Linked DNA regions of Diceros bicornis minor. The protein of the gene in region 1 interacts with the protein of each later gene in a biochemical or structural test. Links are inferred from orthologs where the notes say so. Each region holds a gene or a part of one and is shown in the gene's direction. Other genes may lie near its edges.

Region 1 (7,098 bases):
AATTCTAATGCTACAAAATCTCCAATGACGAAAGTGCAAGTCCCCTATAATTCCCATCCCCACAGCATGCTAGCAATCTAATATACTTTTTCTTTTTTTTTTGTGAGGAAGATCAGCCCTGAGCTAACATCCATGCTAATCCTCCTCTTTTTGCTGAGGAAGACTGGCTCTGAGCTAACATCTATTGCCAATACTCCTCATTTTTTCCCCCAAAGCCCCAGTAAATAGTTGTATGTCATAGTTGCACATCCTTCTAGGTGCTGTATGTGGGATGCGGCCTCAGCATGGCCGGAGAAGCAGTGCGTTGGTGCGTGCCTGGGATCTGAACCCGGGTGCCAGTAGCGGAGCGCGCGCACTTAACCGCTAAGCCACGGGGCTGGCCCTACTTTTTCTTTTTAATCAGCAGTAGAAATCAATGTTGAGCCACCTTTCTCTTAACTCAGTGTATGTGTTAAGGGATTTAAAAAAATTTAACTATTAACCTAAATAAGACATGATTAGGAATGGCGTCTGGCCCTCAAAACGACAATACGTAACCCAAAGAAATATGTCCTGTGGAAGGATCAATATTCCATTAGTTAAGTTTGGTGAGATAGTAAATCATTTGTATTCTCTCACTTCACTTCAAGTAGAACAATTTCTGTGGTAAGAGGAACGGAATTTAAATTTCTCCAGTTCTATTCTGAGTTCTGTATTTGATGTGTTTACCTGACCCTAAAATCACTGCCTTCCCTTATCTGCCTCACCATGAGCTGCCAAAAATCCACTAATGCTCTACTTCACGCACATTGGTAAACTTCCCCCAACACTGACTGCTAAAAGGTTCTCTATTACTGCCCAGTCGACTGAAGCTCTTCGAGGGCAAGGACCCAGGCTGGTTCACCGCTGTATCCCAATGCCCAGCACAATACCTGACACAGAGAAGGCAGCCGATAAGTATTTGATGACTGAATGCAAAATGTTATTACCTCCTCAGATGTCTCTTAAATTATGTTGAAATATTTTCTCAAGGTATGTTTTTCTCTTAGGGTTGGTCAATACAGTTGGTACCTAACAATATTTTTTATACCCTGCCTACCCTTTATAAAGGATTTGAAGGGCTTATAAGACATAAAAACAATAAAATACTAAAACTGAAACAATCAAAAGTCAGGACCAGGAAAAATATAGAGTTAAAGTGTGTTGGGGGGGTGGGAAGGCAGATGAGGGGACATAGGCTCTAAGTTTGTACGTAGAGGTGAACAGCAGATTGGACTCTGGGCTGCTTAACGACCAAAGCAAATATGAGGATAATTTGTGTAGTTACATCGTTTTCATTGTCCATAAGTAGAAATTTTTCAGAGAAATAAACATCTTATTGATATTTAGTTCTGAAATAAATTTCTCGTGTGCAATTTCCTATTGTGAACCAGTCCATTCATTACTTGAAGAGGTATTTGACTTGTTAAAATGGTTTGGTCTCAGGACACCCTTATATTCTTAAAAATTACTGAGGACCCCATACAGCTTTTGTTTACATCAGGGTTTCCCAACCTCAGCACTACTGACCTTCTGGACCAGATAATTCTTTGTTCTGGGGGTGTCCTGTGCATTAAAGGATGTTTAGCTGCATCCTTGGTCTCAACCACTGGATGCTGGTAGCACCCTGCCAATCATGACAATCAACATTATCTCCAGACACTGCTAAATGTCCTGTGGGGGCAAAATCACCCCTTGCTGAGAACCACTAGTTTACAATGATTACACCTACCAATATTTAGCATATTAGAAACAAAATCTGAGGAATTAAAAAAAATATTTATGAATTCATTTAGCTTTCCCACGACAAGTCAAAAGCCCATTTAATTTATAACGTAGCTGACTCATAGAATCCGAAGATTTTTATGACACTTCCTTCAAATGATTTAAGTGGGAAAATTCATGTGATAGGATTTTCAAATTGAACAATTTAACTTACGATCAGAAAAAAAATCATATTAATGACTAAAGTTGAACCAGTCCTTTGAGTCTGTTAGTTTCAAAGATATACTTACAGGTTCTATAAATAAATTTTTTAAACATCCTACAGTACTTGCACATCAAAATTACCCATTTTAGAATTTGTTTAAATATAACTAAATTGGGCCGGCCCCGTGGCTTAGCGATTAAGTGTGTTGCGCTCTGCTGCTGGCAGCCGGCCGGGGCGCGCACCCACGCACCACTTCTCCTGCCACGCTGAGGACGCGTCCCACATACAGCAACTAGAAGGATGTGCAGCTATGACATACAACTATCTACTGGGGCTTTGGGGGAAAAAATTAAAAAAAAAAAAATTAAAAAAGTTAAAAACAAAAGATAATTAAAAATATATATATAACTTAAATATGTGCCATTAAATAATGTTCACCCATATTTAAATATAAGGCTTTAAAAAGACAACTGTAATCAACAGTGAGTCATTCATTCAGCAAACATTTATTTAGCTATTATTATGTGCAAAGCACTGAGTTAGGGATATTTCAAATGGCAGGGAAGAATATGAAGGCTCTGAAAAAAGACTTTCCCTTTCAAAATGTTTTAAATAATCATTATAGAATTTGAAGTAGGAGGGACAAAAATGAAGAAACAACATCTGAATTTTGGAGAGAATACGTATATACTGCTATTCAGGATGCTATCGTGTTAATTATAAATTTTCAACCTGAACAAAAATATGTAGGTGTTTAAAAAGCTGTGTAGGTCTTCTGTTTTATTCGTGTAGGGCAAGGCACGTAAAATACTGTAGTATTACAGCAACAAATGTAGGAAAAAAGTCTGGGAGTTTTTCACCAAAATGTTAACGGTCGTAATCTTCAGATGGCAGCATTCCCGGCGAATTTTCTTTTTTGCTCATCTATTTTCTAACTTTTCTACAAGAAACAATGTATTACTTATGTAATAAAGATAGAAGTAATAATATTTTACATAACTATTTTTACATCAATCAGAAATAAAAATCAGAGCCGGCCCGTGGCTTAGCGGTTATGTGCCCGCGCTCCGCTGCTGGCAGCCTGGGTTCGGATCCCGGGCCACGCGCCTACGTGCTGCTTCTCCAGCCATGCTGAGGCCTCGTCCCACATACAGCAACTAGAAGGATGTGCAACTATGACATACAACTATCTACTGGGGCTTTGGGGGGGGGGAATAAATAAATAAAATCTTTAAAAAAAAAAAGAAAAATCAATGAGTAATCAAGAAGCAGAGGAGTCAACATAAACTTTACCTTTAAGTGACATGTTAACAAGACAGTTTTGGTGAAAGAGGAGAAACTAAGACGTGGGAAGGAAGATCTGGTTTCTTCTTTACCAGAAAGAAAGACACAATAGGTTGGAAAATGATTTGTGGCTCAATCACAAAGAAAAATGAGAAATGAATATAAGTAATTTATAACAGACTAAGTGGAGTCCAAACAAGAGAAAGACAAGCTGAAGCAGGGAGGGGAGCTCGATTCCTCCGCCAGCAGTGGCGCAGACGAAGAAAACGGGGTAAACTGAGTCCTGAACCCAGTCTGCTCTGGTCTAGCTAGAAGACCCCAAAGTGAGAGGAAAAGCGCTCACTGGCCTTGAGAAAACAGCCTAGGTTCGTGGCAAGGAACGCCCTTCCTCGAAAACTTGAGTTGCACTGGGCGGACAAGTACCACCGTGATTCACAACACGCCTGCGAGCCCACACCACCGGCTCCTCACCTCAGTAACTCGCACAAACACCAACCCCCTTCGGCCGCCGCCATCTTCCGCCGACCCCCGAACTCAGGAAACGCTTCCCTGTTCCTCTTCTCTATTGGCTCCTGAGAAAGCGAGTGGTGCTAATTGTGCGTTCCAATTGGTTGCTGGTAGTGGCTTCCCACGGCCTTCCAGCCAATAGAATCTTCCAAGGAGCAGACAAGTTTTCGGCGTGGCTTCACGGGTCCCGCCCCCGTGGGCGGGACAGTAGTGGGAGTTGGGACGGGGAGGGCGTGGCCTGTGATGGACAGCCAGCGCTCCGGCCCCTGCCCCCTAGACTACTGGAAGCCCTCAGTCCAGAGCCCGCTGCCCGTTGGAGACCAATGGGAAGCTCTTGCGCGTCTCGGATCGATTTTCCAGGTGCGGCGTTTCGGACCCGCGGCGCCCCGGAGCCAGGAGCCGAGCCGGAGAGGGAGCTGCGCAGAGCGGACCCGACGCCGGCTCCCGCCACGCCGCACCTTCCCCGCCGGCTGTGGGCGAGCTCTGGGATCTGCATCTCCTGCCGGGGTCTACGCGGCTCGCCCGCCCTTCTTTTCCTGCCCGGCACACGCCGGAGGCTGAAGACCGAGTCCAGAGCGCACCGGTCCAAGGTATCGGAGACCCAGGAGGGAGGACGAGTCCCCGCCAAGGGTCCCGGCTGAGCCAAGGACACTGAGGCAGCGGCGGGCCGGCCTCCGGGTGTGAGTGAGGGTGCGAGGCCCACCCTCCCCCCTCATCTCCGCGCCCCCAAGGGCCAGGGGCGCGGTGGAGCGCAACTTTGAATTAGCCCGTGGGGTGAGGGCTGCCAATTCCTGGTCCGAAATGCAGGAGCCGGTTCTCAGACCCCTCTTTGGGTTCAAGCTGAAAAGCAAAGATGCCATCCACACCCCGCTCCTCTTTTCCCTGGATTTTAACACCGCGCTTCTCCTCCACTAACCAGGTGACCTTTGGGCTCTCGGCCAGATCACAGAAGAAATTGGTTTCTCCGGGAGATGATGCCTGAGCAGGAGAGACAGATTACTGCCAGAGAAGGGGCCAGTCCGAAGGTAAGTTTCCTTCCCCGGGCACTGTGTGCACACACCTACCTGGAGCACTTTCCACGCCCTCCTGCCGTCCTTACTCTGCTCCTGGGCGCGCGCCGGGAAGTGCGAGCGCGGGAGCCCGGCCCCAGGGGAGTCGTGGTTTGTAAGAAGAGCACTCTTTAGAAAGGGCATGCCATTATCTGCTTTTCAGGAACAGTTCCAAACCCAGCACTTTTCTGTTCCTCTTTATGCCGTTAAAGGGTCTGATGCTGGAGAGGTAAAGTGAGCGTTGAGTTGCTGTGTAAGAGCCCTAATTGCTCAAGACAATTAGTTACCTGGAGAAGTTATTCAGAGTTGGTGCCTGGACCCCTTTATGGTCTATCCAGGTCCTGCAACTTTTTTTTTTTTAAGAACTATTTTGAATTCATTTTAATTATACAGGTAATACATTAATGTGGTCTCTTAAGAATGCAAACAGTACAGGAATATTTAGCGTGAAAAGCAGATGTATTTTCCAATCCGTTTCTACTCGGTGTCCTAACTTATGTGTCTTAATTCATTCAGCATATATTTATTGAAAATTTAACATGTTTCAGGCACAGTGTTGAAGAGCTGAAAATACAATGCTTAACAAGATACATATCTATAACTCCAGAGAAATCTTTAGATTTTGTTGAATGAGATCACATAGTGTGTATTCTCCAACCTTTTTTTTTTTTTGGTTTAACAATATATTCTGGAGGTTGTTGCATGTTAGTACATAAGCATCTGTCTTATTCAGTTTAACCTCTGCACGATATGGACTCACTATAGCGTGTTTACTGTTTCTCTTTGGGTGGACGTTCTGGTTGCTTCTGTTGTGTTTTTTTTGCCTTCAGGAGCCACACTGTAGTGGACATCCTGGTACATGATTTTTAATGCTGACACTTGAGTATTTCTTAAGGATAGACATCTAGGCCTGGATTGCTGTTCCGAAGAGTAGGCTGTGCCTTTTATACAGATTTCTTAAATTGATTCAACAACATTATTGCGTGCCCTTTTGTAGTGAAATTCATCCAATTTTGCTATTCATCTAATATTCACTATTTATCTACTTCTGTACTCTGGTGGTATAGAAATGCAAGATAAGTGGATTAATGGGTGGCAGAAGGAGGCTGGTCAATAGATGATTCTTAGTGTGAAGACTCTGCATTTAATGGAGGTATGAAGAGAGCACGTGGGGGAGGGGTAGCTTGTAGGAGGAGAACTTCCACACCCCTGCGGTGGCCCCACCTCTCTACCCATCTGAAAAATCCTTATCCTTCCAGATCAAGCTCAAGACCTGCCTTCTCCTTGAGACTTTCTGGAACTGCCTGTGTCCTTGGTGATCTCATCCTCTCTTGGATTCCTTTGATTATAGTATTAGCCAACATTATTGAGCTTACTATGTGCTAGGCACTGTATTAAGCACTGTATATTTCTCTGTGTTCAGTCCTCATTTAATCCTCACAAAGCCTTTTGATGCAGGTATTATTTTCTTCTTATCACCATTTATTCAACAAATATTTTTTTAGTTATCTACTTTGTGCCAGGCATTCTAGGCCCTGGGGATCTAGCTAAGACCAAGACCCCTGCCCTCGAGTAATTTATATCCTAGTAGGTACAGGGGAAAAAAAGAGTAAACAAAGAGTGTTATTTCTGGTACCGATAAGTTCTATGAAGAAAATAAATCAACATAGGGGCATTAGGAATCATATGGGAGGGGGAGATACTATTTTAAGCAGGTAGTCAGGGATTTCTTCTCTGGGGAGGTAGCATTTGAGTAGAAGCCTGAATGATTCAGATTTGGGGTAAGTGTTCTAGGTTGAAGAACCAGAGGTATCAAGGTCCTAAGTCAGAAGTGGCCTGAAGGTTTGAGAAATAGTAAGAAAGCCAGAATGGCTGGAGCAGAGGGAAGGAGGGGAAGTGGCAGAACATGAGGTCAGAGTTCATCATCTTAACATATGGGGAAACAGAGGCAGAGAGAACTTAAGTAACTTGCCTAAGGTTCTACAGCTAGTAAGAGGCAGATCTGGGATTGAGTCCTAGCCAGGCCTGTCTGGCTTTCTCAGATATAGATTTTCTTCCAAACTTAATTTGACAGTTGGTCACACAGCTTGGTATGATTATTTAAACTTTTCTGAATGTACCTTTTCTTTGCAACTCTGTGCTTCTCAAAAGTGGGGACCAGATTTTTTAAAAAAAAAGTTCTCCGCAGTGCATAATCGGTGCACCGCCGTTGTTCTTGAAAGTGTGAATTATAGCACGATCCCTCCATATTGTTTTCTCTTCAGAGGCCTCTCTGTGGGGCAGCAGTGGCCCTGACCTGGGGTCCATGAC
Region 2 (7,571 bases), on another chromosome or scaffold:
TGAAAGCATTGATTAAAATTTAAAATCCATATACCCTATAATCCAGAAATTCTACTTTTTAATATTAAAATGTACAGCAATCTGATAGTAGTCACTACCTCTACTGTGGAAGGCAGTGATATAAAGGTATGAAGGAAACTTTATCTGCATTGTTTAAAAATTTTTTACATTAAGAAACTTTTCATATATTACGTAATTTAAAAAGTACTTGTCATAACCCTAAGACTAGCTTCTGAGTGCTTATTATGTACCAGGCACTGAACAGAATAGTTTATGGGCATTGTCTTATTTCTCACAACAGCACTATGAGGATAGGTCTAATTATTATATTTATCTTATAGCAAAAGAAACTGAGGTTCAGAGAGGTTAATTGCCAAAAACGGCCAGGAACTGAACATAAGCATTGTCTGGTTTGTCTCATTAAACACAGCTTTAAATCCCCAAAGCCTAAAGTAGTCTGGCAGAGAATAAAGGAACAAGAGGACAGTGTGACAAATGTCCCCTGACTTTTGGTTACCGTGCTGGGAGACCACAAAGGAGTCCTGGAGACTGTGGTAGCCCAAAGAGTCTGGGCCTTGTCTAAAGAGTCCTTGGCAGGCCTTAGTTTTGTTTTCTGACATTGCTATTTCTCCTCCTTCCGGGTACCTGGCAGGATTATACTTTCCTGCCTCTTTAAAGACAGGCCTAGCCAAGTATCCTGCTTCGGCCAAAACAACGTGAGCAGAAGTGACACATATCTCTTCCAGGCAGAGAAGTCTTTGGAGGTTGCGATTACTTGCTGAGGTCTTCCCTCCCCACCCTCACCTCCATATTCAATGTCGTCTCATAGGGGGAATCTCCCTCAAAAACAATTTGCACAGAGCCACTCCTCCAACCTTTCCAACCTGTGATGGGCATATAACATGAGTAAGAAATAAATCTGGGGGCCGGCCCAGTGGCACAAGCAGTTATGTGCGCGCGCTCTGCTTCGGTGGCCTGGGGTTCCCAGGTTCAGCTGCCGGGCGCACACCGACGCACCGCTTGGCAAGCCATGCTGTGGAGGCATCCCATATAAAGTAGAGGAAGATGGGCACGGATGTTAGCCCAGGGCCAATCTTCTTCAGCAAAAAAGGGGAGGATTGGCATTGGATGTTAGCTCAGGGCTAGTCCTCTTCACAAAAAAAAACAAAACAAAAAAAAACCAGAAAGCTGTTGTTTTAAGCCGTTGAGGTTTTGGGATTGTTTGTTACTACAGCATTACCTGGCCTATCCTGCTAGTTGCAGATGTTTTCAGATCTTCCAGTTTTTCAGGAGATACTCAAAAGCTGGGTCATCATGTGACATCACTCAGTGTTTTTTTTACCATTTTATTAATGGTATAAAAATGTTTTGCTCTCACTTAAAAAAATGCAATGAAATTTTCTTTCTAAGAGGAATAATTGAATTCATTCTTTTTTAAACTTTATTTGTATTTTTTTAGGTGAGCTAACACCTGTTGCCAATCTCCCTCTTTTTTTTTCCTCCTCAAAGCCCCAGTTCATGGTTGTACATCCTAGTTGTGAGTACTGCTAGTTCTTCTATGTGAGCTGCAGCCACAGCATGGCAACTGACAGACGAGTGGTGTGGTTCCACGACCAGGAAGCGAACCCGGGCCGCCGAAGCAGTGAAAGCGCTCAACTTCAACCACCAGGCCCTCAGAGCTGGCTCTGGAATTTTTATTTTTTAAAAAATGCTTTTCTTAGTTCTTGTAATAAAGAAGCAACTAATTTTACATGTCAGTCTACAAATAAATTTGTTTTTTAATTGTGATAAAATATACAGAACATAAATTTACCATTCTAACCTTATTTATTTTTTTTTGGTGAGGAAGATAAGCCCTGAGCTAACATCCATGCCAATCCTCCTCTTTTTTGCTGAGGAAGACTGGCCCTGGTCTAACATCTGCGCCTATCTTCCTCCACTTTATATGGGACACCGCCACAGCATGGCCTGACAAGCGGTGCCTCGGTGCGCAGACGGGACCCGAACCCGGGCTGCCAGCAGTGGAGCGTGCGCACTTAACTGCTACACCACTGGGCTGGCCCCTATTCTAACCATTTTTAAGTGTACAATTCAGTGGCATGAAGTACATTCACAACATTGTGCAACCACACTCAGTGTTCTTAAATGTGGTCAACTAATCCAAAAATACTTTGAACACTTTAGGAACGGAATAAAATATTTCTGTAGGCCAGATTCAGCCAGTTTGCAACTCTGCCATGCTGCCTCTCCCAAGCCTGCAGCCCAAGTTCCCTTGGCTCTGTCTCCTCTCTTCTCCTGCCTTGGCTTCTCCAAGGGCCCTTTCAGCTCAGAACCTTTGATCCAAGGCTAAGAGTTCCTTGGTTGATAAAGCAGTGAGGCAGCTAGTGCGTACCTGTGTTATAGGACAGAAAACAGACACTTGGTCTCCTGGAAGGAGTAGGCAGCAGCTATGAAGGCCTTGCTTTGCAAAGCTTAACCCCAGCATCCACCAAAGTGTCACTCTAGTAGGTGGTAGGGAATTACCGGGAAGAAGGCACCAACCTCTGTCTGTGAACCCACCACTTCACATGACCATCCTTACAGCAGCACTCTCAGCCAGAAAGGGTCCATTTCCCAGGCCCAAATGCTTAATGATGAAATGACTTACCCAAGTTTATGAGACTAGTAATGAGACTGCTGGGCAGTCTGGAACTCAGAATTCCTGAACTCTGCTTTTTAAAAATATTCTTTCCTGTGATTCTTTTCTTGATACATATTCATTACAGGAAATATGGCAAAGAAAAGAAAAAAGGAAATAAAAATCACCTATAACAGAATGGGTGAGGGTACTACATATTGATCTGGAGATATGAAAATGTAGTTGATAAAACTTGGAGAGGCAATCTGGCTTTATCAAAATTAAAAATGAATAGCAATTCCACATCTAGGAATTTATTCTACATAAATATTAAGCAAAGATGTATGTATATGGATTGTCATTACATCATAGTTATTAGCATTAAAAGATTAGAAGCAACCCATATGCCCATCAGTGGGGAGCTGTATCAGGACTGTGTCAGGGGCAAGGAACACAAAGTCTGAGTAGCAGTAGCTGAACTAGAGATGGGCTGACATTTCTCACATTATAAGCAGGGGACAAGTTGGCATGGGTTCAGCGAGCACACAGTCAGAACCAGTGTCTCTGGGATTCTCTTGGCATTTCCCTCATGGGTGCAAGATGGTGCACTTGCATCTAAATATCACATCAGCATTCTAAGCAGGAAGAGGAAAGGAGTGGTATCTGTTCCCTGTGTGAGGAAAGCAAGAGCCTTCCCAGAAGCTCCCTAGCTGACTTCTGCTTTTCAGTCATTGGCCAGAGCCATATCATATGGGCACACCTGGCTGCAAGGGAGAACAAAAGCAAGTATTTAGGGATTCCAGCCTCTATAGGAGCTAGAGTAAAAAGATTGAGAATGAGTGTTGGGTTAGCCAACCAATAGTTTCTGCTGTAGGGACTGGTTAAATAAATTATGGTACAACTGAATAATAGAACGCTATGTCATGCTAAAAAGAATGAAAGGGATTGATGTGGACTATTAAAGAAAAATCTCTAAGATATTTTGTAAAATGAGAAGAGCAGGGTGCAAATCTGTGTACAGTATGCCTTTAGTTTAAAAAGGGAGATCATGGGAGGTGGGAGACTTTTCACTGTTACATTCTTTTATGCTATTTGAAATTTTAAAAATAATATGTACATCAGGGTTTTGCCTGTAATCCTGCACCCATCCAAGATAACTTCTAATAACATTTGCTGTAGTTCCTTTCGGGCTTCTTTTTTATGTAAAAGATGGAATTTATGTATTTATTTATATGCAGGAACTATAACCCTGTACATTTACCTCTCCTCTTTGATAGAGTTTCATTTGTCATCTCGAATGAGTGTCCATAACGCTGCTCCTCATGAATTGCACTCTCTCCTTCCCAAATAGCCCATCTTCCTTCATCAGAACGTGTACTCTTCCCCCTTAACTCAGATTATTACCTCCTCCCAAAGCCTCCTCTCTTCAACAACAGCCCCCCAACACACACACACACACTCCAGCCTGAGTCAGAGATCCTTTCTCTGCTCCCACGACACAACTCCTCTAACACGACACTATCGTCGCCTGCTTCCTTCGCTCCCTGCTGGGCTGCTCTTTCCACTCCAGCATCTTAGATGCCTAGCACAGTGTGGCCCATGGTTGGCACTCAATAAATACTGACCTTGTGAATAAATCAGATTGTCCCTTTAGGGAGGGACGGGGCCTTGGTACGGATTCCCAGGCCCAACACCAGCCTGACACGGAGCAGGCGATCTAAAAGCGGCCAACAGGCGCAGAAGGCCGGCCCAGCGTCCCTCGCCCCGCCTCGCTCAGACTTGGCGGGTGTCCAGGGCCCCGCCCGCCGGAAGGAGGCGGAGCGGCCAGCGTTCTGGCAGCCGGCTCCCTGCCCGCGGGGTCGGGGGGGCGGGGCCTCGGGGGCGGGGCCTCGGGGGCGGGGCCTGGGGGCGGGCCGGAGGGGGCGGGGCCTCTCGGCGTGCGCACCGCGAAGCGCAGCCGCGCCAACGCTCAGAACCGGGAAAGGCGTCTCCGCTGCCACCAGCGCCTCTTCAGTCATGCCGGTAAGTGGCCGCGCCGCCGCCGCGCCGCCCCCGCCCCGCGCAGACCCGCGGCCCTCGGCTTGCGCCCCGGGCGCACCGCCGCTCGGCGAGATGTCGCTCTTCAAGGGCTCAGGCCGCGGCTGGAGCTATTGCCTCTCTTCTCGCCTCTCCCCACCCAGCCCTGAGCTTCTGCGACCCTCCAGAAGTTCGGATCCGAAAGGAGTTTAATCTAGGAGCCAAGCTTCAGAGCATCGGAGCTCTAGGCCTACAGCGGTCCCAAGCCCGACTTCCCTGCGTAGACGGGGAAACTGAGACTCGGAGAAGGGCAGAGTCGCCCGCGATCACACAGGGAGTGGGTGGCGAGCAGGAACTGGGACGCCTAGTCCCTGCGACTTCCATCTGGATGCCCCTGTCCGCGGAGCTGGCCTCAAAGAGGGGGATGGGATGGCTATTGCCTCATGCAGAGGGCAGGTTTTCAGACGTCTGTTTTTCCTCCCTTCTCCCGCCCACTCTGCCCAACTTCAGGTTAGCGCTGGGCGACACTGAAAGGAGACAGTGCTTTTAACCTTTCCTACCTGTCACTTTCTGAACCTGAACCCGTGATCCCCAGAGAGGTTTGGGGACTTGCCCAAATTCGCCAGTTGCTCAGCGACAGAGTTTGGGGAGGAATGAGCAGGTGTCAGCCCACCTTTGCAGCTCACTCAGTCTTATTGCACAGATGTGGTTGCTTGTGGGGCATTTTGTTGATAACGAATTAAGGCCTTTTGAGATAAAGATATAAAAAGTGCAGTAACTTATTCAAGGTCATGTTGGGAGTTGGGTGGAGCCAGGATTAAGCCCCTTCAGGCTCCCAATCTCTCCTGGCCTGACCACAAGAGTAGTCACACCGGCTTGGGAGGAAGCTCTGATCCCAGTTGCATCCTGTAGCTCCTGATTGGTGTCACGTGGGTTTAGCATTTGCCCCCAGGGTGTCTAGTTCACAGTTCTGCTCCAAGTGGGTACCCAGAGGTGTCCTGCAGATGCCCTGTGTCTTAGCATCCTAGCTCTGGGGAGCTGACAGGTGAGCCAGAGGCCCCCTGGGCTGAGCCACAAACATATCATGTGTCATTTCCCTTGAGTCTTGGCAGCTGCCTTGGGACAAATCCTCAGACAACACAATGCATAGGCAAAGAACCTGATAGAATCAGCCCTCCCCATTGAGCAAATCTGCTGTACAGCAAACCTGCCAAGGACAGCATTAATCGCCCTGGGACTGGGATAGTGGAGGCCACTAGGTTTTTCTGGGTGGTGGCGGTGAGGGAAAAGCCAGCTTGAGGATCACTCTATTCTCTGTTCACTACTGGGGATTTTGACAAACAAAAGACCTTCCAGAACGGATGATCAGAACGAAGAGGGCACTGGCACCACATCCCCAGATGAACAGCTAAAGGAAGGAGGGTATTAGTCAAGGGGCTGCCGACAACACTGGAAGCAGAAGAGTGTCACCTCAGAGGTTTCTCAGACAAACACTTCAAATCTCAGGAACCTCTTTGAAAAGTCTGTACCCCTGCTTGCCAACTGGTGACCTTGGGCAAGCTGCTTTACCTCTTTGTGCCTGGTTTTCTCATCGGTAAAATGGAGATAAAACTGTGACCTCAACAGACTGGTGCTGGTGTTGACTGGAAAAAAGCCAGTAGAATACGTAGCACAGCCATTGACATAGCTAGTCCCCAAGAAATGGTAGCTCTTGTGTAGACCTAGGACAAGTAGGGTAGGACTATAGGCAGGCAGGTTTCAACCCCGTTTTAACAAGGACCACAGTGGTTAAGTGTTTTGACTTTGGAGACTGTCCAGTCTAGGTCCTGCTACTCACTAGCTGTGTCACCCTGAGCGAGTGACCTAACCTCTGAACCCCAGCTTCCTCATCTGTCAGGAAGGGATAATAATAGTACCTACCTCATGGAATTATTGTGACGATTAAACAAGGTAATGCATATAGGTGTTTAGAACAATGCCTGGCACATAGTAGGCACTCGAATATAAATATTAGTAAACTCGCTATCATCAGGGTGTTCAAAGACTATGTCCTGGCTAGTTGAGAAAGAATTCCTTCTAGGGCCGGCCCCGTGGCTTAGCAGTTAAGTGCGTGCGCTCCGATGCTGGTGGCTCAGGTTCGGATCCCTGGCGCGCACCGACGCACTGCTTCTCCGGCCATGCTGAGGCCGCGTCCCACATACAGCAACTAGAAGAATGTGCAACTATGACATACAACTGTCAACTGGGGCTTTGGGGGGAAAATAAATAAATAATAAAAAAAAAAAAGAAAGAATTCCTTCTCTGGGAGGGGTCTGGACAGTGTGACCCCACTCTATTCCCTCCCTTCCAGTTCTGAGATTCTGTGAAAGAATTGCACAGCTTACTGGACTTTTTCCTCTACTGTAAGGACCCGTTCTTTAGGTGACAGAGTAGAGGCCCTGAAGGGCTGGGACTGCGCAAAATCAAGCATTCAGTGGTGGGGCTGGTCTTGGGATTCTCTGTAAAGAATGGATTACTCTGTCCATTAAGTAGGTTTTCCGCCGCCCCCCAATTTACTTTTGCTACTTAGAGGTGGAGGAAGGGAGCACTGAATTGTAAGGTTTGCCATCCGGAAACCACCTCCTGGCTTCTGACCTCTGTACTATGGACCATGGAAGGACACATGCTCTCTCTAGTCAGCTGCAGAAAGAAAGCTTCAGGTATCGTTGACTTTAGGTCTTTGGGCAGCAAAACCTTGTGCTCCATCACAAGGTGTTCCCACTCTCAGAGCTCCTGCTAATAGTCAGGGTTGTGGGGGCTGGTGGGTGGCAGTGCTGTTTGCTGGGCCAGAACCAGCAAGATGTCCCTGGAGCTGGGAACACCTGGGTTCACATCCCAGCCCCAGCACATACTGGCAATGTGACTGTGGGCCCCTTAGTTAACCCCTGGGAACCTCAGT

The links.
Region 2: the proteins of ATP7B (region 1) and ATOX1 form a complex in vitro, tested with the Homo sapiens proteins (3 studies listed by BioGRID and IntAct). The link is inferred for Diceros bicornis minor from reciprocal best matches to the Homo sapiens genes ATP7B and ATOX1.

Annotation. Positions count from the first base shown.
Region 1 is NC_080748.1:25,292,632-25,299,729, forward strand, and holds the start of ATP7B (copper-transporting ATPase 2), read left to right. Parts: upstream 1-4,078; 5' UTR 4,079-4,329; intron 4,330-4,339; exon of another isoform or gene 4,340-4,419; intron 4,420-4,658; 5' UTR 4,659-4,710; coding exon 4,711-4,764; intron 4,765-7,098. Other genes in the region: ALG11 (GDP-Man:Man(3)GlcNAc(2)-PP-Dol alpha-1,2-mannosyltransferase), read right to left, coding at 3,704-3,747. UniProt on the Homo sapiens protein: Copper ion transmembrane transporter involved in the export of copper out of the cells. It is involved in copper homeostasis in the liver, where it ensures the efflux of copper from hepatocytes into the bile in response to copper overload.
Region 2 is NC_080740.1:68,618,669-68,626,239, reverse strand, and holds the start of ATOX1 (copper transport protein ATOX1), read left to right. Parts: upstream 1-4,552; 5' UTR 4,553-4,633; coding exon 4,634-4,639; intron 4,640-7,571. UniProt on the Homo sapiens protein: Binds and deliver cytosolic copper to the copper ATPase proteins. May be important in cellular antioxidant defense.